Kluyveromyces lactis: one gene and its partners. The protein of the gene in region 1 interacts with the protein of each later gene in a biochemical or structural test. Links are inferred from orthologs where the notes say so. Each region holds a gene or a part of one and is shown on either strand. Other genes may lie near its edges.

Region 1 (2,531 bases):
ACTGTTTGGGTCTAGGTGAAACTCCCATAGTGTAAATGTGAGATCTTGGGGATTTGTTTCAGCCCGCTGAACAAAATCCGTGTAGTTTAATTTCGTAATCTTTGAACCCTCAATAAGTTTTGGATTTTCTGTAAGAGAGGAACAAGTCATTAGGAGAGGTGATAACTGTTGCCATTGAGGGGCACTTCGCGGCAGTGGTACTAAATTAGCAATCCAAAGTTGTAAATAACTCATGACATTGTTCTCAGGGTTAATTTGCTGCAAAAACCAGTTCCATACTTCATTGCTTTTATACTTTTGAGTATAACTTGTCAACTCTGTATTGTTGAGTAATAGTAAACAACAGCTAATCAGTTTTACGACAAATAACTTTTCATCACTAGTAGTGAATGGTAAGAAATCCAGATCATCTTCGAACTTAAGCCCTTCTCCGAGTGTTTTTAATTGATTAACGTGAATGACGGAATTGGAATCATTAAAAGAAGTATTGTGATGTTGAGCATCCAAAATACCTTCATTATTTTCATCATCCTCATCGACATTTGATGCTTCTTCTTGTAGCTCTTCATCACTTTGAAACTCTTTTTTCAATAATGTACGTGTTCTTCCGTATCTCACCTGGCTCACTGCTGAAGTGGAGACCACTTTAAGACATTGAATTTGGCTATAAGTCGATATTACATCGTCGGAGTCTTTCAATGACGAAATCATCGAGGAGATACTGTCAATTGTACTTTGAAACTCATGAATCTCAGAATCATTATCAACAGCTTCTTCAACATCTTTCATATCGTCATTGTCGACTGTTATTCGTTTATGAAGCCTTGTCACTTTACGTTTCTTCTTCATAGATGTCGACCCCATACCATCCAAAATATCGAATGGATCAGCTTCAATTGTCTTTGAATCACGGTTTTCAAATGACTCGTATTTATGAGAGGAAGACACATACTCTTCTCTGACAGGAGCCATGGGAGAAGTCTCATAAGTTCTATCTAAATCTGTTGATAAACTTGTTTCTTCCTCGTCAGTTGAAGTGAAATTGTCCTCATCGCTTAACTCATTGTCTTTTTTATTCAAATGTCGCCTCGCCAAGGCTTGAAATTTCCCATAGTGACCATAAACTCTCGTCTTCATTTATCAGAACCTCCCAATGGGCTTTGTTGGTTTGCTTCCCCTTGTTTTCTTTGTTGTAATTTGTTCGCGTCTAAACAGTATCGTTTCACGTTAAAGTCCTTAAATTTTACGTGTTTTCCTCAAAGCGATTTCAATCTAGAGAAGAGAAAAGCTATGAACAACTTTTACAGAGATAACACAGAGGGAAAAGAACGTGCTAAAAGACCTGGAACTGGATTCAAGTCATTGGTTTTGATTATCATTGCCATAGTACCGAAAATGTACGGAGATCTCGCTAACAAGTTGATACTAGAAGCAAAGAGAACGCAACAGTTATCTCAAGCTGGATTCAACAAACAGCAATTACCAGTATATCAAGACGAGCTAGTCCGTGGCATCCTGAAAGAGGTTGGATCCCTCAAGAAGAACGTGGATTACCTACGAGAACAGCAGCTTACTGATCAGGATAACAAAGTCGCTCAATGCCAGTACGTCGTTGCTATGCTTTCGATGGAAAGAAACAAAAGATGTCTATTAGCATACCAAAAGATGAGAAGTGAGATGCTAGACTCAATGGTTTGGGATAACAACGGGATGGAATTTTCTTCTGCCATATCAAACCACCCGAATCTATCATCGTTTGATTCCTCTGTTTTATCACATGCAGAACAAGAGTATCTCAAAGAGTATGCACAACTACTTACCGAATTGAAATCGGGAGAACTCTCAGAAATCGATTTGACTGGGATGTTACAACCGCCGAGCGATGTGTTCATCGACGTACGAGTATTGAAAGATGCAGGACAAATAGAAACAGAGTACGGTGTATTCAACCTGATTAAAGATTCCCAATTTTTCGTCAGACAATCCGACGTCGAAAGACTTATACAACAAGGATATCTGCAGAAGATATAGCAAGGCAGCTTTTTTCGCCGAATTCTGCACCTTTCATTGCAATTCTGTAGATATCATTGCTGGTGATATTGCTGATGCAACCGTTCCAAATGCAACTAACTAGCTTTACCTCACTTTCACTATGGGGAATGCACGATTTCTTTTTGGATTTCTTTTTCTTGCAGCTCATCGCCTTCAAAAATTTTTCAGTTTTGTATTTAAGGCAACGAGGCATAAGTAACAGAACAGTACTTGATCTGGAACCAACTTGTTAGAACGGTTATTGGTTTGATTGCATTGAGTATAGTGTACAGCTTATTGGGATATAATATTTGTCACCATACATATACCAAGACTTGTGTTTCATCTTTAGTCTAATTGTTGAGCATATCTTTCCTAATTGTAAAGCTAATAAAATAAAGGATGTCCAAGACTGATGTCACTGATTCTGCTACGCAGAAAAAAGAATTGAACGAGTATGAACAACACTATTTCACCTCTTATGACCATTTCGGTATTCA
Region 2 (4,264 bases), on another chromosome or scaffold:
GAAGAGTTTTCCATTTCTTCTAGCCCTCTTTTCTTGGTACTTTCCAATGTCATTCCCTCGGAGTTCTGATCCGATACCAGATCTCTCCTGTACACTTTATGTGCTATGATTTTATCACACGCTTCGTGTGATAAAAGCTTTTCAAATATCGAGCTGTACTTGTCAATACAAACCCATGAGATAAATCCTTCGAAACTTGACAGTTCAGGGAATCCTGGTAGCTTTCTGTCTTCTGTAACCGGGTCTGGGTTTTCTTCTATCCCTAGAATGCAGTGATCATGAAACCAGTCCTCATTGCACTCCAAGCCAAGGACGCATTGTAACATCGTTGTCGTTGTATTCGGGTCATACTCTCTATGGCAAGAGCAAAATAACCCTTTGAAATTCTGGCCATACCTGTTACTCATGTCTGGTATATCTGGTGTAGTATTCTTTCTTATATTACAAGGTGTGAACTTCTCACCGTGTTCAAACTGCCTTTCTGTACCGCAATCGCAACTGAAATTCCTCTTATCGAAAAGTTCCACCAAGTCACAGGTACTGTGACACTGAATAGAGCATGAATAGCACACTCCTATACTGTTGCAAGTACGACATGCGAATATTGGCTGTCGAATTGGGCCCATGGAATAAGTGCAATGGCTTGGATCATATGGCATCAGTTTATTTGCTTCATCTTCCAGTTCCTCCTGTCGCTTCACATATTCTTTAACGCTAATCTCGCTCATTCCCTAACACCAACAAGACTATCTTTAAGTGCCAGAACTCACCTTGTAGTAAGAAATGCGTGAATGAAGGTACCCTTTTTGCCTTTAACTTGACGTGTTCCTTATGTTTAAATTTGGGGATATTTCATTGATAGTAAGAGATTTTCCATGTCGATGAATCAATATTCCGTATGATTTTACGTCAATATCGACACATTTGGACGGTTACCGGATGGAAATCGATCTAATATGGGGCACAAAATGCATCACATCATTCCAGAGCTTCAACATCCATACTTTACCTGCAATTGTGTTGCTTCATCGTGTGATTGGAGCTATAAGTACGGTTTTTAAGCGTATGATCCCATGTGATTATCACGTGATCCACGCATCATAATAAAGAAATTATACTAATCAAATGTAGATTGCAAAGCTAAAAGAGGTGAGAACTACCGATTGGTGTTATTGGAATATTGCCATTGCTGTATTATTAGCCCCAACGCTCTACAATGGTCAGATCGTTGCAAAACACCATTTTAGGAAATGTTATTGTTTCAATTAAAGATCATTTTCGTACATTCAACTGAAGAAAAAAGCCGGAAAAAACGTTAAGATCTTAAGATAGCTTTAGATCCCAATGGTCTGAAACAAAGTGTAACAAGTAGGTCATCGAAGCATCAGGAAGACAATTGTGTGATCGGATTTGGTAGTGCGATAATTGAAGATTATTAATTGCTGTTTTTGAAAGTGTTTCAAGATGTCTGATAATGATGAAATAAATAACGGAAGGAGGAGAAGAAGAAGAGCTGATGATGATGAGGATGAGGATGATTCTTTGTCTACACAACCCCGTGAAGGTGGCGCTAACATCCCTAGTTCTCCACAGTTTGAAGACCCGCTTGGATCTCCAGATGAGATAGATTTTGAGAATCCAGATAACGATGGAGATGAAGCTGTCAATGTTCAAGAGGATCTTGAAGATGTGGAAGAAAGAATGAATGAAGTCGATTTGATGGGTGATGATATGTACCGTGATTACGCTTCAAACACAGAACATGATACGTATGAAAGAAGAGGAGTCGACGACCAGGAGCAGCAAGAGTTGTCGCTCGCTGAGCGTAGAAGAATCGATGCACAATTGAACGAGAGAGATCGTTTGGTGCATAGGAACACAGCATACCTTGATGATGATGATGGCGAAGGAGCTGGTGCGCATAATTTGGATGCTATGGGTCTTCCAGTACAGAGGAGACGTAGAAGACGTCAATACGAAGAAGCAGATGATGATTTGTTATCAGATATGGATATAGATCCGTTGGCAGATGAGCTCTCGTTGGAATCTTTGGCAGATGTGAAGGCATCAAGTTATTCTGAATGGATCACTCAACCGAATGTATCACGTACTATTGCCAGAGAGTTGAAATCGTTTTTGCTTGAATATACTGATGAGTCAGGTAAATCCGTTTACGGTGCTCGTATCAGAACTCTCGGTGAAATGAACTCTGAATCCTTGGAAGTTAATTATAGACATTTGGTAGAATCCAAGGCCATTCTAGCCCTATTTTTAGCCAAATCTCCCGAAGAAATGTTGAAAATATTTGATACAGTGGCTATGGAAGCTACACAACTACACTATCCCGATTATACTCGTATTCACTCGGAAATTCACGTAAGAATCTCGGATTTCCCTAGTATATTGAACTTACGTGCTTTACGTGAAACTCATTTGAATTCTTTAGTTAGAGTTAGTGGTGTCGTGACAAGAAGAACTGGTGTCTTCCCACAACTTAAATACGTTAAATTCAACTGTTTGAAATGTGGTGCCACACTTGGGCCTTACTATCAGGATTCAAATGAAGAAATTAAAATCTCGTTCTGCACAAATTGTAGATCTAAGGGTCCCTTCAGAATTAATATGGAAAAAACTCTGTACCGTAATTACCAAAGAATCACCATCCAAGAATCACCAGGGTCTGTTCCAGCCGGTAGATTACCACGTCACAGAGAAGTCATTTTGTTGTGGGACTTGGTTGATATCGCAAAACCTGGTGAAGAAGTCGAAGTGACAGGAATCTATAAGAACACATATGACGGTAATTTGAATGCAAAGAACGGGTTCCCCGTTTTCGCAACAGTACTGGAAGCCAATTCAGTGAAGAGAAGAGAAGGCGGATTGCATGATGGTGATGAACACGAAGGGCTGGATGCCTTCAGTTGGACAGAAGACGAAGAGCGTGAATTCAGAAAGATGTCTCGTGACAGAGGAATCATCGATAAAATCATTTCATCAATGGCTCCATCTATTTATGGGCACAGGGATATCAAGACAGCAATTGCATGTTCTTTATTCGGAGGTGTTCCTAAAAACATTAACGGTAAGCATTCCATCCGTGGTGACATAAACATTCTACTTCTCGGTGATCCAGGTACTGCCAAGTCCCAAATTTTGAAATACGTGGAAAAAACTGCCAACAGAGCTGTCTTCGCTACAGGTCAAGGTGCTTCTGCAGTCGGTTTGACAGCTTCTGTCAGGAAGGACCAAATAACTAAAGAGTGGACTCTTGAAGGTGGTGCGTTAGTGCTTGCGGATAAGGGTGTTTGTTTGATTGATGAATTCGATAAGATGAACGATCAGGATCGTACTTCTATTCACGAAGCAATGGAACAGCAAAGTATATCCATCTCTAAGGCAGGTATCGTTACCACGTTACAAGCCAGATGCTCTATTTTAGCTGCCGCCAACCCGATCGGTGGTCGTTACAACTCTACTCTTCCGTTATCACAAAATGTCAATTTGACTGAACCAATTTTGTCAAGATTCGATATCCTCTGCGTGGTAAGAGATTTGGTTGATGAAGAAAGTGATAATCGGCTAGCATCTTTCGTCGTTGATTCACATATCAGGTCTCATCCAGACAAGGATCTGGATGATTTTGATGATGGTAACGTTCCAACGGAAAATCCTAATGGGGAGGGTGATGAAGAAACTCCGTTATCTGCCAAACAAAGACGCTTGCAGAACCTTCGTAAAAGAGAAGAAGAAATTTCGCCCATATCTCAGCATATGCTAATGAAGTATATTCATTACGCAAGAACTAAAGTTTACCCTAAGTTACATCAAATGGATATGGACAAAGTGAGTAGGGTTTATGCTGATTTGAGACGAGAGAGTGTCACTACTGGTTCATTCCCGATCACCGTTCGTCATTTGGAATCTATCTTAAGAATTGCTGAAGCCTTCGCGAAAATGAGATTATCAGAATTCGTTTCCTCATGGGATTTAGACAGAGCAATTAAAGTAACAGTGGACAGTTTTGTGGGTGCACAAAAGATTAGTGTACGTCGCCAACTACAAAGATCTTTCGCTGTTTATACTATGGGAACAATGTGAAATCAAGATTCAACATTTCCAACGGAAGAAAACAATTCTATAAGCTCAGAACAACAATATACCGTTCCCATTTTTTCCATTATAGATGCAGTACTACATCGCTTATATTAGCATAATATACAAATTTGTAACTAATAGACTTAAATAATGATTACTTCAACCTTCA
Region 3 (4,124 bases), on another chromosome or scaffold:
ACCTCTGATGGACAGTCACGTTTCATTTCCAACCAAGCAACTATCAGCGAAGCCAAGGTGCCTATCAGCAACTTCATGCCAGAAAATAGGAAGAAGTTATCGAGTGAGTATTCTAAACCGGCTTCTGCCTCCCCGCCCATCAAACAAACCATATCTGACCTGGCTTTGGATAACACTTTTGCTCTGGCTTCAATACCACTAAACTACAATGGAAATATCAATGGAAATATCAATGAACATAACGACAATCAGAATTACGGTCATTTCGAAAACCAAGTGTATGGCAACGGTGTCCCATCTCTCGCTCCCTCGAACTCTGTCCCCTTCACAGGACAACCACAACTAATACCTCATTCGGGATCTCAAAATACAGCTACTCATTTACGCAAATGTACACAACCATTCGATGAATTCTCCTCATTGAACAAATCACCAGTTGAAGATGCAGCTTTGGACACCGTACGGTCTATCTCATCCCAATCCTCCCATGAACATACTGTTCTCCATAAAGAAATGAACTTCATATCTACCGATCAAAAGTCACAAATAAATCCTGATTGGGAAGTACTCCCCCTCGACATCGAGCAAGCAGGCATGTCTATGGAAGAAGAAGTGAAATTCACGAATAACTCGAATGAACCTAAGATTAATACTACTTTACAAAGACAAATGAATGAGTACGCTCTGGGTGAGAGGCACTTCAGAGAAACTCAGCAATTCATGAACTTTTTCAATTATACTTACAATTACCAAGAATGATTGAATCTTTTTCCATTCGGCTTTTCAGTGGACCTATGTCCACATTAACATTTTCGGTTTATTTTATCTGGTTACATTTTTTTCTTTTCTTTCGATTTTAGATTCATTTTCACTTCACCATTAATGCAACTGACTGTCAGGGGGGCTATTTTATCCCTGGCCAGCTTTCTAAAATCCTCGCGTCCATATACTTATATCGCTTAAATAAGATGAATTCTTACCTACGTATCATTAATTTTTATTATCAATTCACCGATGTTTTATCTTCTCCCTATCGAATCAAAAAGAAAAAATTCCATTAAATTGAACTTTGCTGCATTGGTTATCGATATGTTATGGTCGATAGTCAATGGTTTTCCTCGTGTTATACCTCAGTTAACTAATTTTGGATACTTGCAATACCTCTTTAGGAAAAGTAATATTGAATCGCCTTAACTCAGAAATTAAAAAAATGATTTTACATGTTGAAACACTTAAAACATGATCTTCAATGTGAAGGGCATCCAGGTTGAACGGCTCATCCAAAACCGGACATAGTTGGAGCAAGCTGAAAAAATCAGCAACAATGTCGGCACCATCAAGTCCTTTTCAACATGGTCAGCAATCATCCCAGCCTCCCTCTAGTGTAGGTGCTTATGATAGTTCACAATTCGATGATCAGTCGTTAGGAAACAGAACTCCCCAGTTTCCATCTTCTTCCAGAGGAGTGTCAGATGGAAATAGACATTTCGGTACTGATGACACTAGGCAAGGCATTAATTCAGAATCACAAATAGAGGCTATGGAAAATGATTCACAAGAAATTACTCCATTAGCCGGGATCAGGCAGAAAAACTTGAATGCCATCAAAAAGGTTGATGATAAAACTGGTGAAACTGTAAGAGAGGCATTCGAACATTTCTTGTCAAATTTCACCGCCCTCAATGATGAAACAGGTGAGATGGAGAAGGTTTATAGAGTCCAAATTGAATATATGAGATGGTACGAATTGAATACCATATACGTTGACTATAAACATTTGGCCGAGGTGGAAGACGGAGCTTTAGCGGTTGCTATTTTACAACAGTATTACAGATTTTTGCCATTCCTTTTATCTGGGCTAAGAAATGTGGTGAAGAAGTACGCTCCTGGATTATTATTAACATCTGACTCTGTACTTCCTTCTCAATCTCAAGAGAATTCTCAGGACCGCTCTTCGCAAAGAATAGATTCATCTTTGCCAACTTCGCAGGCTGCCACCGCAGGAGGCACTGCCCCATCTACCATTGCCACTAATCCAGATCAGGTTGAACGTGTTTTGCAAATCAGTTTCCTGAATCTCCCAACTGTCCATAGAATCAGAGATATTAGGGCTAATAAGATTGGTTCTTTAATGGCTATTTCAGGCACAGTCACGAGAACTTCGGAAATTAGACCAGAATTATACAAAGCCAGTTTTACATGCGAATTGTGTCGAGCTGTTATTGACAATGTGGAACAAGTTTTCAAGTACACTGAACCAACCTCTTGTCCAAATCCAACATGTGAGAACCAATCTTTCTGGTCATTAAACGTGAACAGGTCCAAATTCTTGGATTGGCAAAAGGTAAGAATTCAAGAAAATTCCAATGAAATTCCATCCGGTTCTATGCCAAGAACCTTAGATATTATTCTTCGTGGTGACTGTGTCGAAAGAGCTAAACCAGGTGATAGATGTAAATTTATTGGTACTGAAATTGTCGTTCCAGACGTTAGTCAACTTGGTTTGCCTGGTGTTAAAGCAAGTTCGACTCCAGATTCTAGAGGTATCTCACGGACAACGGAAGGATTGAACTCAGGTATTTCTGGGCTCAAATCATTAGGTGTTAGAGATTTAACTTACAAAATATCGTTTTTGGCATGCCATGTTGAAAATGTTGGTACCAGTTTCAATGGTAGTAGGATTAATGAGGAGGACGCCGATAAGACATCCAAATTTGATTATATTAACTTGAGAAACTATCAAAACTATGAAATGGCGGCAGAAACTGATCAAGAAATTTTCCTAACAAGGCTTGATTCTGACGAAATTAATGAATTAAAAGAGATGGTGAAAGATGAGAATATTTATGACAAACTGGTGAAATCGATTGCACCAGCAGTTTTCGGGCATGAAACCATTAAGAAAGGTATCCTTTTACAAATGCTTAGCGGTGTTCATAAAACTACTGTAGAAGGCATTAAATTGAGAGGTGACATTAATATTTGTATCGTTGGTGATCCGTCCACCTCAAAATCTCAATTCCTAAAATACGTCTGTAACTTCTCTCCAAGAGCCGTTTATACTTCCGGTAAAGCATCTTCAGCGGCTGGTTTGACTGCAGCTGTGGTGAAAGATGAAGAAGGTGGTGATTTCACTATTGAAGCTGGTGCGTTAATGTTGGCAGATAATGGTGTTTGTTGTATCGACGAATTTGACAAGATGGATATCGCAGATCAAGTTGCTATTCATGAAGCCATGGAACAGCAAACCATTTCGATTGCCAAAGCTGGTATTCATGCAACATTAAATGCCAGAACTTCAATTTTGGCTGCCGCTAATCCCGTCGGCGGTAGGTACAATAGGAAACTGACTTTAAGATCTAATTTGAACATGTCTGCACCAATTATGTCCAGATTCGATTTATTCTTTGTCATTCTTGATGATTGCAATGAGAAGATCGATACTGAGCTAGCTTCCCACATCGTAGACTTGCACATGAAGAGGGACTCTGCTATTAATCCACCATTCTCAGCAGAACAATTGAGTCGTTATATCAACTATGCCAAGACTTTCAAGCCGGTAATGACTAAAGAAGCTCGTGACTACCTAGTCAAAAGATATACAGAACTAAGGAAAGACGATGCGCAGGGGTACAGTAAATCTTCGTACCGTATAACTGTCAGACAACTGGAATCATTAATCAGATTAAGTGAAGCTATTGCTCGTGCTAATTGCGTGGATGAAATTGTTCCGAGCTTTGTCGCTGAGGCGTACGATTTGTTGAGACAGAGTATCATCCGTGTTGATGTTGATGACGTTGAAATTGAAGATGACGATAACTCCCCAGAAGAAAGTACGGAGGGTGAGGGCACAATACCTGCCACACAACACTTCGGCGAAACACTTGATACACAATCTCAGTCACCTTCTCAACCACTGAACGCCGACTCCGAAACGGGGGGTGGTCCTGACGTAGAGTCTCATGACAACGCTCATCACACAACACATAAAGTCGCAATATCATATGATAAATACGTGGAAATGATGAATCTAATTGTACGGAAAGTGGTTGACAGAGAAAAGAATGAAGAACCTGAAATGACAAAAACTGAGATAGTAGATTGGTATTTACAACAGAAAGAAA
Region 4 (4,060 bases), on another chromosome or scaffold:
TTTGAGAGCTAGTTCTAGCCATGGCAATGACTGAATGCTCGATACTGACGTTTCAGTGCTGGATTCATCTTACTGGAATGGCTAATAATAAAGCATGGGGTGGCAAGAGCGAGGGATATCTACATGTAAGGCGTGTATGAGCGCGATTACTTTCTAGACGTGCGCCTATTTTTTTTCTTGTTTTTCTTTTTTTCTAATTTGCTTTTTCCCCATAGTGTAGTTAACATTAAATCGTATGATATTCTGCAGGCTGTTCGCACAAGCTCAACACGGGGTTAATAAGGGCGCTAAGCCGGGTGAGTCTAGTGCTGAATCAGATCAGGAACACACTGGGAGAGAGAGAGGGAGCTGATGATGCGCGGACAAATGAATAACAGACTTGAAATTTTTTACCTAATGCTCAATCAATGATTTCCTAATCCCAAAATCAAAGAAAAATTTTCTGACTAGAATGCTTCCATAATTTTTCAATGATTTTGGCGGCTTGAATTGTGATGAATGCATTCAACATTTTTTGCAGTGCGGTTGAAAGCACAGGCAAAGTGATTCGTCTGTAGTAATTCTAAGAACATTCTTGTGACATTTACTCTCCACCTTTATATTGTTGTAACAGCTGTTGGTCTGGTGACCGATCATGAGGTTTTTCCTAGCCGTTTCACTCAGTTCAAGTCGTAGAAAAATTTAGTCGGGATTCAGTCTCCTCTTGCCCCTCTTCACCAATATGGCTGAATACCGGATTTTTTGCATCTTTCATTTTTGACCGATTAAAGAACGGCTTGAAAAATCAGTACGCTTGATTTTGCTAGATAGCTAAGTTATCCTGGCTTGGCCTTTTGCCGCTTTTGGTAAGGTGGCAGGAATTTTTCATTACATTTCAGCGGTTATTCTGTGTAGCGAAGTTTCTCCGATTTCTAAGATCAGAACAAACCACGAAAGCAATGCACCCTTATTGACTTTCCTTATTCGGTGCAGTTGGTTGTTCGAGCAACGCGTCGTCACCTAAATTGAATCCCTCAAGGCAAAAAGAAAACCGCATTTTAACCTTCCGGGTCACGTGTTGAGAAGTGTTGTTTCATATTTATTTTTCTTTCGGTTCGATCAATTACTTTTCCGTATTAGGTTAAGCGAAGATCAAGCTTTTTTTTTTTTTGATTTGGAATTTTATTCTGTTTTGAATATCCGGATTCAATCGCGACTTAAATTACAACAAACATCATACATCTTAAAGAGTATCCGTATTACATGTCTGTGTTTCTAAGTAAACTGCTGAGATAGGTATTATACAATTTCAAGGGCAACAAGTCAATTGAAGACAGGCCATGTCGTTTGATAAACCAGAGATCCATACCACTAGAGTGTTGGCAGGTGAAGAACTGTCTTCCAATGAAAATTCAGAGATTATCAAATCTTTTAAGAGTTTCATACTGGAATTCAGACTAGATTCCAACTTCGTTTACAGAGAACAACTGAGAAATAACCTGTTGGTTCATAAATACTTCCTTGACGTGAATACGGAGCATCTTATTGGATATAATGAAGATCTATACAAAAAATTACAGGATGAACCGATAGATATTATCCCGTTGTTCGAACAAGCAATAACTCAAGTGGCAAAGAGAATTGTTTTGTTATCGCAAGATTCTGATATTGATCCAGAGACAGCGTTGTCGAACTTCCCACTATGTCAGCTCATTTTAAATTCCAGTTCTATGGAAATTCCATTAAGAAGTTTGGATTCGGATCACGTTTCTAAGATCGTCAGAATTACAGGGATCATCATCTCATCCAGTGTCTTGACATCAAGAGCCACTCAGTTATCGCTAATGTGTAGAAGCTGTAAACATATGACAACTTTGAAGTTGAACAATTTCCAGAATTTGAATAACAATAACGTCCAGTTACCTCGTGAGTGTCTTGCAGATCGTTCCAACGAAACAGATGAAACAGCAGCTTCTTGTGGCCCTGACCCATATTTAATCGTACACGAATCGTCACAGTTTATTGACCAACAGTTTTTGAAACTACAAGAATTACCGGAATCCGTGCCAATTGGTGAATTGCCTAGAAATTTACTAATGACATGTGATAGATATTTGACCAACCAAGTTGTTCCAGGAACAAGAGTTACCATTATTGGTATTTATTCCATCTACCAATCCAAGAATAAGAGTATTAATAGTTCTGGAAATAAAGCTGTGGCGATCAGAAACCCTTACGTGAAAGTTATCGGGATCAAACACCTATCAAATAATCCGTTAAACAATTCTCTATCTATGTTTTCGGAAAGTGAAGAACAAGAATTTTTGGAGCTTTCCCAACGACCAGATCTATATGAACTTTTCGCCAACTCAATTGCTCCCAGTATCTATGGTAACACTGATATCAAGAAAGCCATCGTTTGTCTCCTTATGGGCGGATCGAAGAAATTGTTACCAGATGGTATGAGACTAAGAGGTGATATCAACGTGCTACTGCTTGGTGATCCTGGTACTGCAAAATCCCAACTGTTGAAATTTGTGGAAAAAGTTTCTCCGATTTCGGTATATACATCTGGTAAAGGTTCTTCTGCAGCTGGTTTGACGGCAAGTGTCCAAAGAGATCCAACTACACGGGAATTTTACCTAGAAGGAGGTGCAATGGTGCTTGCTGATGGTGGTGTTGTCTGTATTGACGAATTTGACAAGATGAGAGACGAGGACCGTGTTGCCATCCATGAAGCCATGGAACAACAAACTATTTCCATTGCTAAAGCCGGTATCACTACCGTTTTGAATTCTAGAACTAGTGTCTTAGCTGCAGCAAACCCTGTTTACGGTAGATATGATGATTTGAAATCACCGGGTGAAAACATTGATTTCCAAACTACCATCTTGTCCAGATTCGATATGATCTTCATTGTTAAAGATGATCACAATGAAGCTAGAGATATCCAAATTGCGAACCACGTCATGAACATTCACACAGGAAGAACTCAACAAAACGATCCAAATGATAATTCCAACTCCAACAACGAAATTCCAATAGAAACTATGAAGAGATATGTTAGTTACTGTAGGTTAAAATGTGCCCCCAGGTTATCTCCTGAAGCAGCCACAAAATTATCTTCTCATTTCATCACTATTAGAAAACAATTACAAGAGTCCGAAAGACATTCCAATGAGAGGTCTTCCATTCCAATCACAGTTCGTCAATTAGAAGCCATAATTCGTATCACAGAATCTTTAGCTAAATTAGAACTGAATCCAGTAGCGACCGAAAAACATGTTGATGAAGCCATTAGATTATTCCAAGCTTCTACGATGGATGCTGCCTCTCAGGATCCTATCAACTCCCAGGAAAATGATACAACAATGCTCTCACAAATTAGAAGAATCGAATCTGAATTGAAAAGAAGGTTGCCAATAGGATGGTCTACAAGTTACAAAACTTTGCAAAGGGAATTCGTTGTGAACAAGAAACTTCCCCAATATGCGCTAGATAAGGCGTTATACCTGTTAGAAAGACATGATTCTATTCAACTAAGACATCAAGGTCAGAATATTTATAGAAGTGGAGTATGAAGTTGCAAATGAAATTCAGGAACCCCTCCTTGAACATTGTCTATAACTCATATGTACCACTGTGTATAAGGAATTTCAGCGACTATGTGTTGATATTTATATAGTGTAAGATTACCCGGATAATGATAATGATAATTGGATAATCCGAAAGAAAACAACTGGATGGTATATTGGGTTTGATGCACAGGATGAGATGATGAGATGACCAAAGAAGGAACCTCTCATATCATATGGCAATCAGGACAAGTTATCACAAACTTACGAGATTGCAAATATCATAAGCCAAGGACTTATCTTCAGGATTTGTCTGTTACATATACTAGAAAATTGACCTAAAACACGATGGCCGATACATATATTCCAAAGACAGACCTTTCAAGGTCTGAACTATCTAGAGACGAGCTAACACAACTAGAAGAATTCGAAATGAAATATGGACCCATGTCTCTAATCAGGGAATCAATGCTACAGAGGACACCTGTTATAATATCACTAAGGAA
Region 5 (3,698 bases), on another chromosome or scaffold:
CCAATTCAATAAGAAATCTAACCAGAAGGAGTCCCGGTAGCTGGGATTGTTCGAAACGACGTAGATCCAAGCGGCGTTAGAAAAAATACCGGCTAATGTGACATCTCGTAAATCTGCAATTGAACTTCCGGAGTGTCCGGTAACGAAAGCTTCCTTCCGGTGTTTCAATTCATCAATTACACCAGAAGCATCCATGGTCTGATATCCCCGAGCCTGTATACGTTTCTTGTACTTACTTCCTTTATTGAACCTTCATTGATCTAGAGCTTAATAAACAGGTAGAATGACACTTGTCAATATTTTCACTTTTAAAGGAAGCATGCACAGAAGAGTAAATCTGGAATATAGGTTCAGACACGTAAAAATGACACACATTTAGGAGTTAGAGGCACTTCTAAGCAGAATAAGAATGTTAATGATCTTGTTACAGATAATATCCGAATGGATATGTATACATATATACATACATATATATGGCGTGACGTAATAATACATGAGATTTATGAAACATGAGAAATGATGTCTTTAGCTTGGCTTCTGGTAGAAATCTTCCTTCTTTTCAAATTCTGCTGCACAGATGTCGACGTTGATGCTGATCCGTACGTGATCTGAGTATGCGAAAGATGGTCACTATCATGACCTACAGTTTGGATAAAGCTTGATTCCTCATTCTCTGTATCTACATTATTTGAAAGAAGTTTCCCCCAACGGTTCCCTCTATTTGGAACATGAGGTAGTTCTGCTGATGCAGAAGAGGCAGTTGACAGAGGTGCCGCAATATCAACAGGAGCGGGTTTCTCTAGCAAAGGATCCTCGTTTCCTCTTTCCTTTGGAATTATTTGTAGTGCAAAGTCAGATTTAGAACCCTTGGGACAAGAAATACACCAATTAACGTCATTAAAGTAGATGTTCATGGAAGTCTTATTAGGTTTCATTGCTCTTTGGAAGAGTTCAATGACAAAACTTGGAGTTAGGATGGGAATATGATGAGCTTGCTTAACGAATTCAATTTTCCGTTTCATTGAATTTCTAAACATTTGAGCTTGATTTACAGAGATCTTCATATCCAAATCTGTCCTGAACATTGACGCGTACTTATTTTGCCTTAAAGTATGTTCCTGTGGTATTGAAGTCAATTGGGAGATGTTAACGAGTAAGAAATCCGTCTTCTTCGTCAATTTCTCATGATGGTCAAAACCAATCAACTTCAAAAAGTCTATAATTTTATTGATGTGTAGTAATTCCACGCCATGGAACCCTGTGATATGGAAGGAAAGTTTAGGGCCATGTAACACCGATTTAGGTGGAATGATATTGAAATCGTTGTAGAAAGGTTTTGACCAAAAATCCGGAGGTAGGAGTTGTTCGTAATACAAACATCGTTCGATGAAGAATTCTGTCAACCACGATGATTCATTTGGGATTCTCGGCAGTAGATTTGCCGGAAATCCACTTGGACAGATATAATAAATGGTCTTATCCTTCAGCTGTGCCGGTGACGGTGATGTATCCTCGAAGAGGGAAGACGTTCCTTTATTACCGCGAATGACATTAGATAAGATAGTAACCTGTCTTTTTTCGAACTTGAATAGCACGAAGTGACAGTCCAGGAAGGTCGGTGTATCCTTTGTCTCACCAAGGCATTCTTGATGCGTTGGGGTGGCTTCCTTAATATCAGTGGACTTTGACGCTGAAGCATCACCATCTCTTGCCAATAGTTTCCCCCATATCTGATTCGCTTGAGGCTTAAATTTATCTATAGCAATCTTCAACGGATTCACCGAATCATCTTGTACACCCATGGGATTTGGTTCAGTTACAGATTTTTTCTTATCTGGAACGTCACGAATGTACGAACCAGAACCAATGTCAGAGTATTCAAGTTCATGACAATTTTTCAACAGGTAGAAAGATTGAAAGTCTAGAGTCCCTGATCTGTCCATACAATCAATGATCCATTTTGGATGCACTACGGGAACGTTCTCTTCTAAAGCAGCCTGGACACGGTTCCCCGATAAATCATCGGTAATAAACAACGAAATGCATGCATTGGATGACGAAGAGTTCCTAATGAAATGCGTGGTATCTACCGATTTCACTTTACCCAATTTACACAACTGAACCAACGACTCAAGAGAATAATGGTTATTAGGTCGTATTCTGCCAATGAACAAGTTAAATTTTTCAAACGACCCGATAGAGTACTTCGATTTTAAGTACTGGGACATATCGAATTTAGCCAACTGCAACAGATCTTCTCCTGCGAGCCACGCATCGTACAACTGATCAACGGATCCCGGACTAACAAACACGATATCAGTTCTATTCTTGACAGCAAAGTTATACTTTGCGGTGAATAACTCTCCAACAACCAATACGTTGACTAGTCTTGTCAAATCCTTGGTATAAGTCCCACCGAGTTTTGTCACTTTATGTGAGATGGTATCAGAAACCGACAACGGGAGAGACGTAGGACAGAACACCAGTCCTTGAAATGGTTTGCCGGACATGTTTGCTCTACTTCAGGGAGAATTGAGGAAGAAGAAGAAGAAGAAGAAGAAGCTATCTACACCTTTGTTCCAGCTTTTTAGACACATCATCACCATTCATATGTGAAGGAAGGAAGGATGGATTGGATATCTGTGTAAATACGCGTTTATGTGTGGAAAATAATAAACAGAGAAGAGTTGTAAAATGACATTTGTTTACAGGTCACGTGGACGAAAAACACAAGCTACCCAGGGTTACCCTGAGAAAACGAAAACCAAAACCAAAAATTAAACACTAACCACGTGACTACAGCGAATCTCCCCCTTCCGGCGCCCCCCCCGTCGAGTCATCATCCTTGTCAGCAACCGTCCAGCTGACTCATATATCTGTCACATGTGAAATTGCAAGAAGCAGGCAAACATCGCCACCCATACACCATTCGGACTTGTGACTTCTCCCCGTTAGCCTTTCATCCGGACAAATCCTTTCAGGTCCTTACTCTCCCTACGATAAACCGATATAACTGCACAAATTTTTTTGCTGACTACACGGAAAACCGCGCCTAGAACCGCTTTTTTTGTCCCCAAAACTTCCTTTCCCCAGATCCGGCTGAAAGGGACAATTGCAAAACTGGAATTACACACTACTAACGCATATTAATTAGCCCTCTTATATAGTCTATAGCATACCGAATACTGAATAATATGTCCAACGTCACTTGTGGAAATGTCACAAATGTCAGTTTCTGGGATCCATCAATTAAGGGAAATTCTTCAAACGTCCCAGCTATCTCGGTTATCTCATTGGTTTATTCTCTTGGCTTGTTAAAAGGTAGTTTCTTCTTGCCTTAGTTTCTTGAATTAGATTTCTCGAGGGTTTTTATAGCCAAATATTATTATTATTATTCATGATTCTGAATCAGATATATAAGACAAACGGACCTGGGGAAACGTTCTGCCATATAACCATGAACCGGAAGGTTTATGGTAGGTATCAGATGTTTTTTTTTCTGTTTGGAACGTAAGCTTGCTATAAGCTTCCTGTAGTAGCGCCAAGTATATGTATATATCACTATGCCAAGTGTTTCGCAGGATGATGTAAAGGGCGTGCTTGCTGGTAAGATGTCTACTGGTAATAGCAGTGATGACAGTAGCAGTCAGTCAGGTAAGAAGCGTAAATATGGGAAAGTCGACAAACACAATGAGAAG
Region 6 (4,234 bases), about 360 kb from region 1:
GATGAGATGAGGCTCAAAGTCAGAGATGTTATACACATTTACGTAAGGATACTCATAGCGTAGACTCGCTTCCACCTAGGGGGTGGAATCTCACTTTATTTGAATTGGGTTCGCATTTATCATATATTTAAGTTTTTATGGTTTGAGTTTGCTGGTTCTGCTTCTCGAGAACGGGTTTAATTAAAGGCTTTGCGGTCTCGAGAATACTTTTAAAGTCGTTTCTCATTCGAGTAATTAGGGTGGAATCATTGTCTTCCAAATGTCTAAATCTGTAGTCACAACGTATTAGTATAGTAGAGAGCTGCTTTGCCACTGTGAAGGAAAGCTCGTCGTCGATATTCAGCTGCACCATAGACTGTAAGGATGATACAAGTTGCTGGCATATCTTTAGCGATTCTGATAGCTTTGTGATATCGTCCAGTTTACCAAATAGGTTATCAAGCGATTTTAGGTAGGATAATGCTGTTACTGTTTTTTCTCTAGTTTCAGCCACTGAGGAATCACAAAGTTGGAGTAATTGCTTGTTGAACTGTTGTAGATCATTCAAGACTTGTTTTAACTTATTCAACACCTCGTTATTGTCACTAGTATTAAACCTGTCACATATTTCCATGTACTCGGGATAATTGTCATTGATTTCATCCAGTATAGTTTGTTCCATTGATTGCTTCAAGGCAGATACTTCATATGAGAGTTCGTCTAACGATACGTATTGGAAGTTATTCTCAAGTAATAGCTTATCTATATCTAAGCAGCCATTCTTCCGTACAAAATTGGAAACTAACTCTCTGCTTAGTTCTTTAGTTACTGGTAGATCCAAATCATCATTTAGGTCGGTCATCGCTGGGTGAGAGTAGTTTCACACAGTACTTTCCCTCTCTTTTCGCTCTTGTTCCGTTTTTCTGGTAATGATCGTTCGAATATAAGGATCGATTCGTACCTTTAAATATCTTGAACGCTGAATAGAATTGATAGTTAGAAAAATACATGTATATAACAAGGGCAAAGACCGATACATGTGTTTGAATGGGTAGTTTTCGGAACACACTTACTAAACTGATGGTGCAATACAGATGAATAAGGGTGATATGATTACTGCGCATCACGTGACTAATTTTCCTTAAGATAAGTAAATCTATAATCAAGAATGTTTAGATACTTTTGGTCCAATACCTCATCCTTACCTTGTGGCAATTGCATGCACTGCACTGTCACTACTATAACAGTGTCAACTAATACTTGATGGTGCTAGTTCTGTGTTTCATTTCTGTCTTCTTAGCTAACGTGTATTTTTAACAGAAAAAACGCGTCTTGGTGATTTAACAAGTAGAAGATGAGACACAACTTGCTTGAAATCTATAAGATGCACTGAAAAAAGCTCAGTTCTCAGTATATTAGTGAATAGTTTCCTTCAGACATACCCAGAAACATCCAATGGCAATTAAACTAACTGAAAATAGGGTATTTGTTGCTGGTGGGAACACCCAGGCACGGTTGAGTAGTGACAGTTCTCGACTTTTCACTTTAAATAAGAACGCATTGGTGAAAGTTCTTAATTTAACTGATCTTGAGAAGGAACCTGATATCATTGATATTTGTGAAGAACCAAGCGCATTTGTTTTGAGTCAAAATTCAGCTGATGGTTTATATGTTGTTTCCCGCAATGGCGACCTATACTGGTACAATGTACTGGAAAACAAGAACAAGTTATGCTTTAGATCCTCGTTACCATTGCGTGATTTGGCCTTAGTTCATGATGATAAAGTATGTGTTGTAGGTGGGGATGATTTAGAAATGACATTGGTTGCATTAGAAGAGGGAAATTCAAACGTTAAATTAACTTTGGACGAACAACTGGTTAGTTTATCATACAACAAACAAAATAACATTCTAGCAGTATCACTCAGTAACGGTAACGTTGTATTCTACTCTTTAAGTTCTACTACACCCAATAGAATCCACACATTGCATGATCAGCTACCTAAGATATTCTTCAATGATGATCTACCAGCGGACACTGAGAATAATACTGAAAACGCCGATTCAGTCGCTATAGATGGACTTGATCCTATGCTATGCGAAGATAACAGAACATGCACTAGAGTTGCATGGACCAATAAAGGAGACCAATATGCAATTCCAGCAAAAGATAGTGTCATTAAGTTATTTAAATTATCAGATCATGATTTGGTGACCTCGTTCAAGCCAAGTGTGCACGTTAACAACTGGGACGCACTTACAATAGACCAAATTCATTCAAACACAATCGCTGCAGTCGGTAATTCCAACCAAAATTCTCATCTATTTATTTGGAATTTAAGTACTGGTACACAGCTTGTTCACGAAAGCTTTAGGTATAGTATCACTTCTTTGTCTTGGAGAGTAAACGATCAGAGAACCAAACTTAGCTTGGTAGCAGGTACTTGGTCGGGCGATGTTATCACGTTCAATGACATTGTTTCAGTAAATACTACAGTTGCTTATTCAAATACCGGTGGTAAGCTTTTTGTTGGCTCTGATGATGAAAAGTTATTTGACGATAGTGACATAGATGATTTATCTAAACAAACAAGCAACGGTCCTGAGTTCTACGAGCCTTCCAAGAATGATAATAACAGAAGATCGAAATATGAAAACAACGACAAAGCTGATGACAAAGGTGAGGTTAGTGAAGATATAAACTCTGACAACCTTTTCACAGATGCAGAAATGGATCAACATGAACCTAAGCGTACATACAATTTCGAGAATGAAGATGATTTTATTGAGGATGATAATGGCGAGGCCGCACAATATAAGAGACCAAAAACTCATGTTCAATCAATTCCTTCTTTGACAGCTAATCATGTAAATCATCGCAGAATTTACCAACCACCAGCTCAATTCCAATACCGACCATTTTCAACAGGCGCGACACCTTTCGGGAATAGCGATAAAAGATACCTTACTATAAACCAACTAGGTCATGTATGGACAACAAGAAATGAAGGCGGTAGCAATTCTATAACGGTCTCTTTTTTCGATGTTAGTCGATTCCGTGAGTATCATTTCGACGATTTATTCAAATATGACCTTTGTTCACTGACCGATGAAGGTATACTATTGGGCCAGTCGAAGATGGGTCAAATTCAATACAAGCCACATAGTCCCTCTGGAGATTCATGGACTAAAAAGATTCCCTTACTTTCCAAAGAAAGAGTTACTTCAATTGCCTGTACTCCTAAACGTGTAATTGTAGGAACATCTCTCGGATATCTTCGTACTTATAACGATTTTGGGTTACCACTGGCAATAGAAAAAATGTCACCTATTGTTGCTTTGTCTGCTCATGAGTACAAAGTGTTCACCATTCATTACTCACAATATCATGGTATTACTTACTCGATGTTCCAACAACATCCGCAAACTGGCAATAAATACTTCCAAAGAGAATCTCCCTTACCAATAACGTTGCCTCAACAGAATCAGCCGGGAAATGATGATGAAGACATTGAATTTTTAAAATACGATGATATTTTCAATTCATTCAACCCCCTAGGTATCAAATCCTTATTCTTCTCAAGCTTTGGTGATCCGTGTATGTTTGGTCATGATAATGTTTTGTTAATTCTGTCCAAATGGAGAAGTGGTAGTGACGCGAGATGGGTACCCATAGTTGATACCAATTTAGAACTTTGGAAGATGTCAGGGGGTAAGCATCCGAAGAACGTCCACGTTTGGCCATTAGGATTAAACTTCGATACATTTTCGTATTTATTATTGAAGGGGAAGAACGCATGGCCAGATATCCCAATGACCGTTCCTACAGAAATGGAAGTCAGAATCCCAGTTGTATCAAAATCCGAGCTTCAAAAGACACAAGACGATAATCGTAACGACAGCAGCGATGTGGAAGATATTGATAACAGTAATGGTGTCGAAATTCCAATGTACCTAGCAGCAGAAGAGGAATTTCTACGCTCCAAGATACTAAGTGATTTACTAAAAGACACGATGGATAATGAAGGTGAGATATACGGAAATGAAACAGATCTATTACAGCATCTGGTAGCAACACATGATAAGTCCTTACTACGACTTTTAGCTTATGTCTGTTCCGAGCAAGATGTTAACAAGGCCGTTTCAATCGTCAACGAACTGAAGCAAGATAAGGCCCTATCTGCTGCAAGAAAAATTGCAGAAAGAGCTGAACTACTTCCACTAGTAAGAAAAATCAACACGATTATTGAGGCCA
Region 7 (4,239 bases), on another chromosome or scaffold:
GCTTATAATTTTCCGCAATAGCTCATCAACTTGAAGCTGTTTTTCCTTCATGGTAAAATGATTAGGACCGTACTTATGTCCGACATGATCAACTCCTAACATATGTCCGATCAAGATATCGTATTCAGACCGTTTCTCTTCATTGAAATAATACTCCTCTAAGTAAGAAATAACCCCATTATCGACTGTGTCTAAATCCCAAACGTTCAAGGATTCATATGGTACACTTTCTGGAGCCAAATACGGATTAAATAGGGCATCCCAAGTGTCATCACCGGCAAAGAATATTTTCTTGTTATGCAGATAAAGCTGTTTTATTAAGTTATCCTCATCGATCACATCACCATTGAAATTCGATCCTGCATCTATAAATGTAGGCAAGGAACCTGTTGTCAATCCCTTTAATCTTTGTAGCGTAGTTGTGGGAGGATCAGCCAAAAACTTCAACAAGACAGAATCCGTTGAGTTATGGGCCGTCTCATAAAGAACTTTCAAATTGTTATGATAATTAGGGTTGTACTTGGCATGATTTTCATCTACTGGAATAACGAAATCAAACCTCAATGCGTCCACTATTAGTAAAACCATCTTATCGTATTTAGCTTCGAAGGGAAGCTGGGGATCAAGTTCTGCAACGTTATCCAACACCGTCCTTGTTAAAAGGAACCCTTTTGCGAAAAATGCTATGGAAATAAACTGCAATACAGCCAAAGAAGCAAGTAATAGTATGTACAGAGTGTGCGTAGACTTGAACCTTGATATCCGATAGCTCATTCGACTGGACCTCGTTTGAGGCCCCATTATGCTGAGTCTAATTCTCTCTGCCCGATCTCGTTCATCACTAACAGTGGGATTCATCACTTCTTACCAGTTTCCAAACGGGACAAAAACACAACTAAACGAAAGTACAATAAATTCACGTTGAATAATGATATTGTGCAGAAGAATTGAGTCACACTGGCGAAAGTGGTTCGCTTATCTCTCGCCTCTGACAGAGTTCTTGTTACCACTTTATTTCATTTTAAAGGTTAATTTCTTTTAAAACAGAACAATTGTACATCACGTGATCATTGTTCCCTCTTCAAATAATGCAACTCCAATTCTGATCGGCGAAGATACTGACCATTGAGCTGAGTGGATCCATGGTATTATCAACGGTGGCAAGGGCTCATTAGAACCTTGTTTATTTCAATTTGTTCTGTTTTCTTCTTTAGGAAATGTAACTATGTAACCAAAAATGTGTAAAATCTTAACGAGTTTCACTTAGTTCACTCAAAGCATCTCAAACAAGATAACATTATCAATTGAAAGGTGATATATCAGGGAACCTAGGATTATTTAGCTGCTTAGTAGGTTTGATAAAATTGCTGAATTAGCATTTGGATAATAGTGGCAGTATATATCCATAGAACACAGGAAGACAAACGGTTAACAATATTATGTCCTCACCTCCAGCTCAACAACCAAGTTCACCAAATTTGTTTTATGATCCTAGCTCTTCTCCAGCTCCTCATGGTACACAGGATTCCCAGGCATCTCAAGACCGAGGCGTAGGCTCTTCTCCGTTTCACTATCCTTCGTCTTCGTCAAATGCCACGCAAGAGACGGCTCGCGCCGCTCCTAGTAGCAGTGGTTTAAGATCTAACAATTTGAGATCTGATCTATTGAACTATTCATCCTCTCTATCCTCAAGTGCAAGAGAGGGAAGACACTCTAGATCTAGAAGAGGCGAAATTAATGCATCTGACTTATCATCTCCCAGAAGAATTGTCACTTTCAATAACCTTTCCTCATCGGATAATGGATTTTCATCATCATCGAGACCTGCATCTGAAGCTGCTGATCAACCTTTGAAGATCATCTGGGGTACCAATGTTTCGATCCAAGAGTGTGGTAACAGTTTCAGAGAATTTTTGATGTCTTTCAAGTTGAAATATAGAAAGGAGCTAGATGATCAGGAGATTTTCATCAACGAAACAACAGACCAAGAGCTGTATTATGTGAATCAATTGAATCAAATGAGACAACTCGGTACTTCAAACTTGAACCTTGATATCAGAAATTTACTGGCTTATAAACATACTGAAAAGTTGTTTCATCAGATTCTCTATTACCCTCAAGAAATTATAGCTATTATGGATCAAACTGTTAAAGATTGTATGGTATCCTTAGCACTTGATAATGGGTTAGAGAGTTACTTGAATGAAATTGAATCGAAGTTGTTCAAAGTGAGACCATATAATGTGGAAACCAAAAAGGGTATGAGAGAGCTTAATCCTAATGATATTGATAAATTGGTGAGTATCAAAGGTTTAGTTCTAAGATCCACACCTATTATCCCAGATATGAGTGTTGCATTTTTCAAATGTAACGTATGCAATCATACTGTAGAAGTTGAGATCGATCGTGGTATTATTCAAGAACCAGTGAGATGTCCCAGAGTGGTCTGTAATAGCCCAAACTCCATGGTTTTAGTTCACAATAGGTGCACTTTCCAAGACAGACAAGTGATAAAGTTACAAGAAACGCCTGATCTAGTCCCTGATGGACAAACTCCACACTCTGTTTCCCTATGTGTATATGATGAGCTGGTTGATTCGTGTCGTGCTGGTGATAGAATTGAGGTTTCAGGTATCTTTAGATCTATTCCAATCAGGTCGAATCCAAAGCAAAGAGCCCTCAAATCTCTATACAAGACATACATCGATGTGGTTCATATCCAAAAGGTGGCTAAAGATAGAGTCGGTGTGGACACTTCTACTGTTGAACAACAACTCTTGCAGAACCAGATTGATAATGTGGAAGAGATTAGAACTTTGAGTAGCGAAGACATTAGGAGGATCAAAGAAACTGCTCGCCGATCGGATGTCTATGATGTTTTGTCACGTTCCATCGCACCAAGTATTTACGAGTTAGATGACGTCAAGAAGGGAATCTTATTACAACTCTTTGGTGGTGCTAATAAAACTTTCAAGAAAGGTGGAAGATATAGAGGTGACATTAATATTCTACTATGTGGTGATCCTTCGACCTCTAAATCTCAAATTTTACAATATGTTCATAAGATTGCTCCTCGTGGTGTTTACACTTCGGGTAAGGGTTCCTCTGCTGTTGGTTTAACTGCTTATGTTACAAGAGATGTGGATACTAAGCAACTGGTGTTGGAAAGTGGTGCTTTAGTTCTCTCTGACGGTGGTGTGTGTTGTATTGATGAATTTGATAAGATGAACGATAATACTAGATCAGTATTACATGAAGTTATGGAACAACAAACAATCTCTATTGCAAAAGCAGGTATTATTACAACTTTAAATGCTAGAACTTCAATTCTGGCTAGTGCCAATCCTATCAACTCTAGGTACAATCCTAATCTTCCTGTGACTGAAAATATTGATTTGCCGCCTCCATTATTATCAAGATTTGATCTCGTTTATCTAGTGCTTGACAAGGTCAACGAAGCGTCTGATCGTGAACTCGCTAAGCATTTAACCAGTTTATACCTGGAAGACAGACCGGATTCTGTATCTCAAGGTGATATTCTACCAGTTGAATTCTTGACAGCCTACATCAACTATGCAAAACAAAACATTCACCCGGTAATAACTGAGTCAGCCAAGACTGAACTTGTGAGGGCATATGTCGGTATGAGAAAGATGGGTGATGACAGTAGATCAGATGAAAAAAGAATTACCGCAACAACAAGACAGTTAGAAAGTATGATTAGACTTTCAGAAGCTCATGCTAAGATGAGGTTAAGTGAAAGAGTTGAACTTGAAGATGTGGAAGAAGCAGTGAGACTGATAAAGTCTGCCATCAAAGATTACGCTACGGATCCTAAAACTGGTAAAATTGATATGAACCTTGTACAAACTGGTAAATCGGTTGTGCAAAGAAAATTGCTTGAAGACTTGGCGAGAGAAATTTTAAAGATATTGACAGAAAGGACAACAGACACAATAAGTTTCAACGAACTAAGCAAGCTTATAAACGAACAATCGCAAGATAAAGTGGAGAGTATCGAATTATCAAACGCTTTGACAAGATTGCAACAAGAAGACAAGGTAGTAATCTTAGGAGAAGGTCTAAGAAGATCAATTCGTTTGAATGGCCGTGTATGAATAGATATTATCAAGTCTAGTTTTTCTGAGAAAGCCTCTACATAGTTTGCAAAGGGCTAAATGAGAATAACGACCTTCCGCATGTTCTGCTTATATACATACGTTCTGTGTATATATCATC

The links.
Region 2: the proteins of PSF1 (region 1) and MCM2 form a complex in vitro, tested with the Saccharomyces cerevisiae proteins (2 studies listed by BioGRID). The link is inferred for Kluyveromyces lactis from reciprocal best matches to the Saccharomyces cerevisiae genes PSF1 and MCM2.
Region 3: the proteins of PSF1 (region 1) and MCM6 form a complex in vitro, tested with the Saccharomyces cerevisiae proteins (2 studies listed by BioGRID). The link is inferred for Kluyveromyces lactis from reciprocal best matches to the Saccharomyces cerevisiae genes PSF1 and MCM6.
Region 4: the proteins of PSF1 (region 1) and MCM5 form a complex in vitro, tested with the Saccharomyces cerevisiae proteins (2 studies listed by BioGRID). The link is inferred for Kluyveromyces lactis from reciprocal best matches to the Saccharomyces cerevisiae genes PSF1 and MCM5.
Region 5: the proteins of PSF1 (region 1) and DPB11 form a complex in vitro, tested with the Saccharomyces cerevisiae proteins (2 studies listed by BioGRID). The link is inferred for Kluyveromyces lactis from reciprocal best matches to the Saccharomyces cerevisiae genes PSF1 and DPB11.
Region 6: the proteins of PSF1 (region 1) and CTF4 form a complex in vitro, tested with the Saccharomyces cerevisiae proteins (4 studies listed by BioGRID, with this or other methods). The link is inferred for Kluyveromyces lactis from reciprocal best matches to the Saccharomyces cerevisiae genes PSF1 and CTF4.
Region 7: the proteins of PSF1 (region 1) and MCM4 form a complex in vitro, tested with the Saccharomyces cerevisiae proteins (2 studies listed by BioGRID). The link is inferred for Kluyveromyces lactis from reciprocal best matches to the Saccharomyces cerevisiae genes PSF1 and MCM4.

The regions. Positions count from the first base shown.
Region 1 is NC_006038.1:615,935-618,465, forward strand, and holds PSF1 (DNA replication protein PSF1), read left to right. Parts: upstream 1-1,395; coding exon 1,396-2,031; downstream 2,032-2,531. Other genes in the region: RAD61 (Rad61p), read right to left, coding at 1-1,137; protein-arginine omega-N methyltransferase HMT1, read left to right, coding at 2,434-2,531. UniProt on the Saccharomyces cerevisiae protein: Required for DNA replication. Functions as part of the GINS complex which plays an essential role in the initiation of DNA replication by binding to DNA replication origins and facilitating the assembly of the DNA replication machinery.
Region 2 is NC_006042.1:1,165,544-1,169,807, reverse strand, and holds MCM2 (MCM DNA helicase complex subunit MCM2), read left to right. Parts: upstream 1-1,464; coding exon 1,465-4,098; downstream 4,099-4,264. Other genes in the region: KLLA0_F12606g (uncharacterized protein), read right to left, coding at 1-728. UniProt on the Saccharomyces cerevisiae protein: Acts as a component of the MCM2-7 complex (MCM complex) which is the putative replicative helicase essential for 'once per cell cycle' DNA replication initiation and elongation in eukaryotic cells.
Region 3 is NC_006042.1:935,830-939,953, reverse strand, and holds the start of MCM6 (MCM DNA helicase complex subunit MCM6), read left to right. Parts: upstream 1-1,324; coding exon 1,325-4,124. Other genes in the region: KLLA0_F10109g (C2H2-type zinc finger protein), read left to right, coding at 1-759. UniProt on the Saccharomyces cerevisiae protein: Acts as a component of the MCM2-7 complex (MCM complex) which is the putative replicative helicase essential for 'once per cell cycle' DNA replication initiation and elongation in eukaryotic cells.
Region 4 is NC_006040.1:778,954-783,013, forward strand, and holds MCM5 (MCM DNA helicase complex subunit MCM5), read left to right. Parts: upstream 1-1,319; coding exon 1,320-3,560; downstream 3,561-4,060. Other genes in the region: mRNA splicing protein SMD2, read left to right, coding at 3,903-4,060. UniProt on the Saccharomyces cerevisiae protein: Acts as a component of the MCM2-7 complex (MCM complex) which is the putative replicative helicase essential for 'once per cell cycle' DNA replication initiation and elongation in eukaryotic cells.
Region 5 is NC_006042.1:1,325,362-1,329,059, forward strand, and holds DPB11 (protein kinase activating protein DPB11), read right to left. Parts: upstream 2,511-3,698; coding exon 501-2,510; downstream 1-500. Other genes in the region: GWT1 (glucosaminyl-phosphotidylinositol O-acyltransferase), read right to left, coding at 1-195; SIP4 (Sip4p), read left to right, coding at 3,564-3,698. UniProt on the Saccharomyces cerevisiae protein: Has a role in the initiation of DNA replication. Required at S-phase checkpoint. Required for the association of PSF1 with origins. Also required for the proper activation of RAD53 in response to DNA damage and replication blocks.
Region 6 is NC_006038.1:972,859-977,092, reverse strand, and holds the start of CTF4 (chromatin-binding protein CTF4), read left to right. Parts: upstream 1-1,434; coding exon 1,435-4,234. Other genes in the region: Golgi transport complex subunit COG2, read right to left, coding at 128-841. UniProt on the Saccharomyces cerevisiae protein: Accessory factor for DNA replication. It plays a role in accurately duplicating the genome in vivo.
Region 7 is NC_006039.1:1,537,586-1,541,824, reverse strand, and holds MCM4 (MCM DNA helicase complex subunit MCM4), read left to right. Parts: upstream 1-1,439; coding exon 1,440-4,118; downstream 4,119-4,239. Other genes in the region: mannose-ethanolamine phosphotransferase GPI13, read right to left, coding at 1-858. UniProt on the Saccharomyces cerevisiae protein: Acts as a component of the MCM2-7 complex (MCM complex) which is the putative replicative helicase essential for 'once per cell cycle' DNA replication initiation and elongation in eukaryotic cells.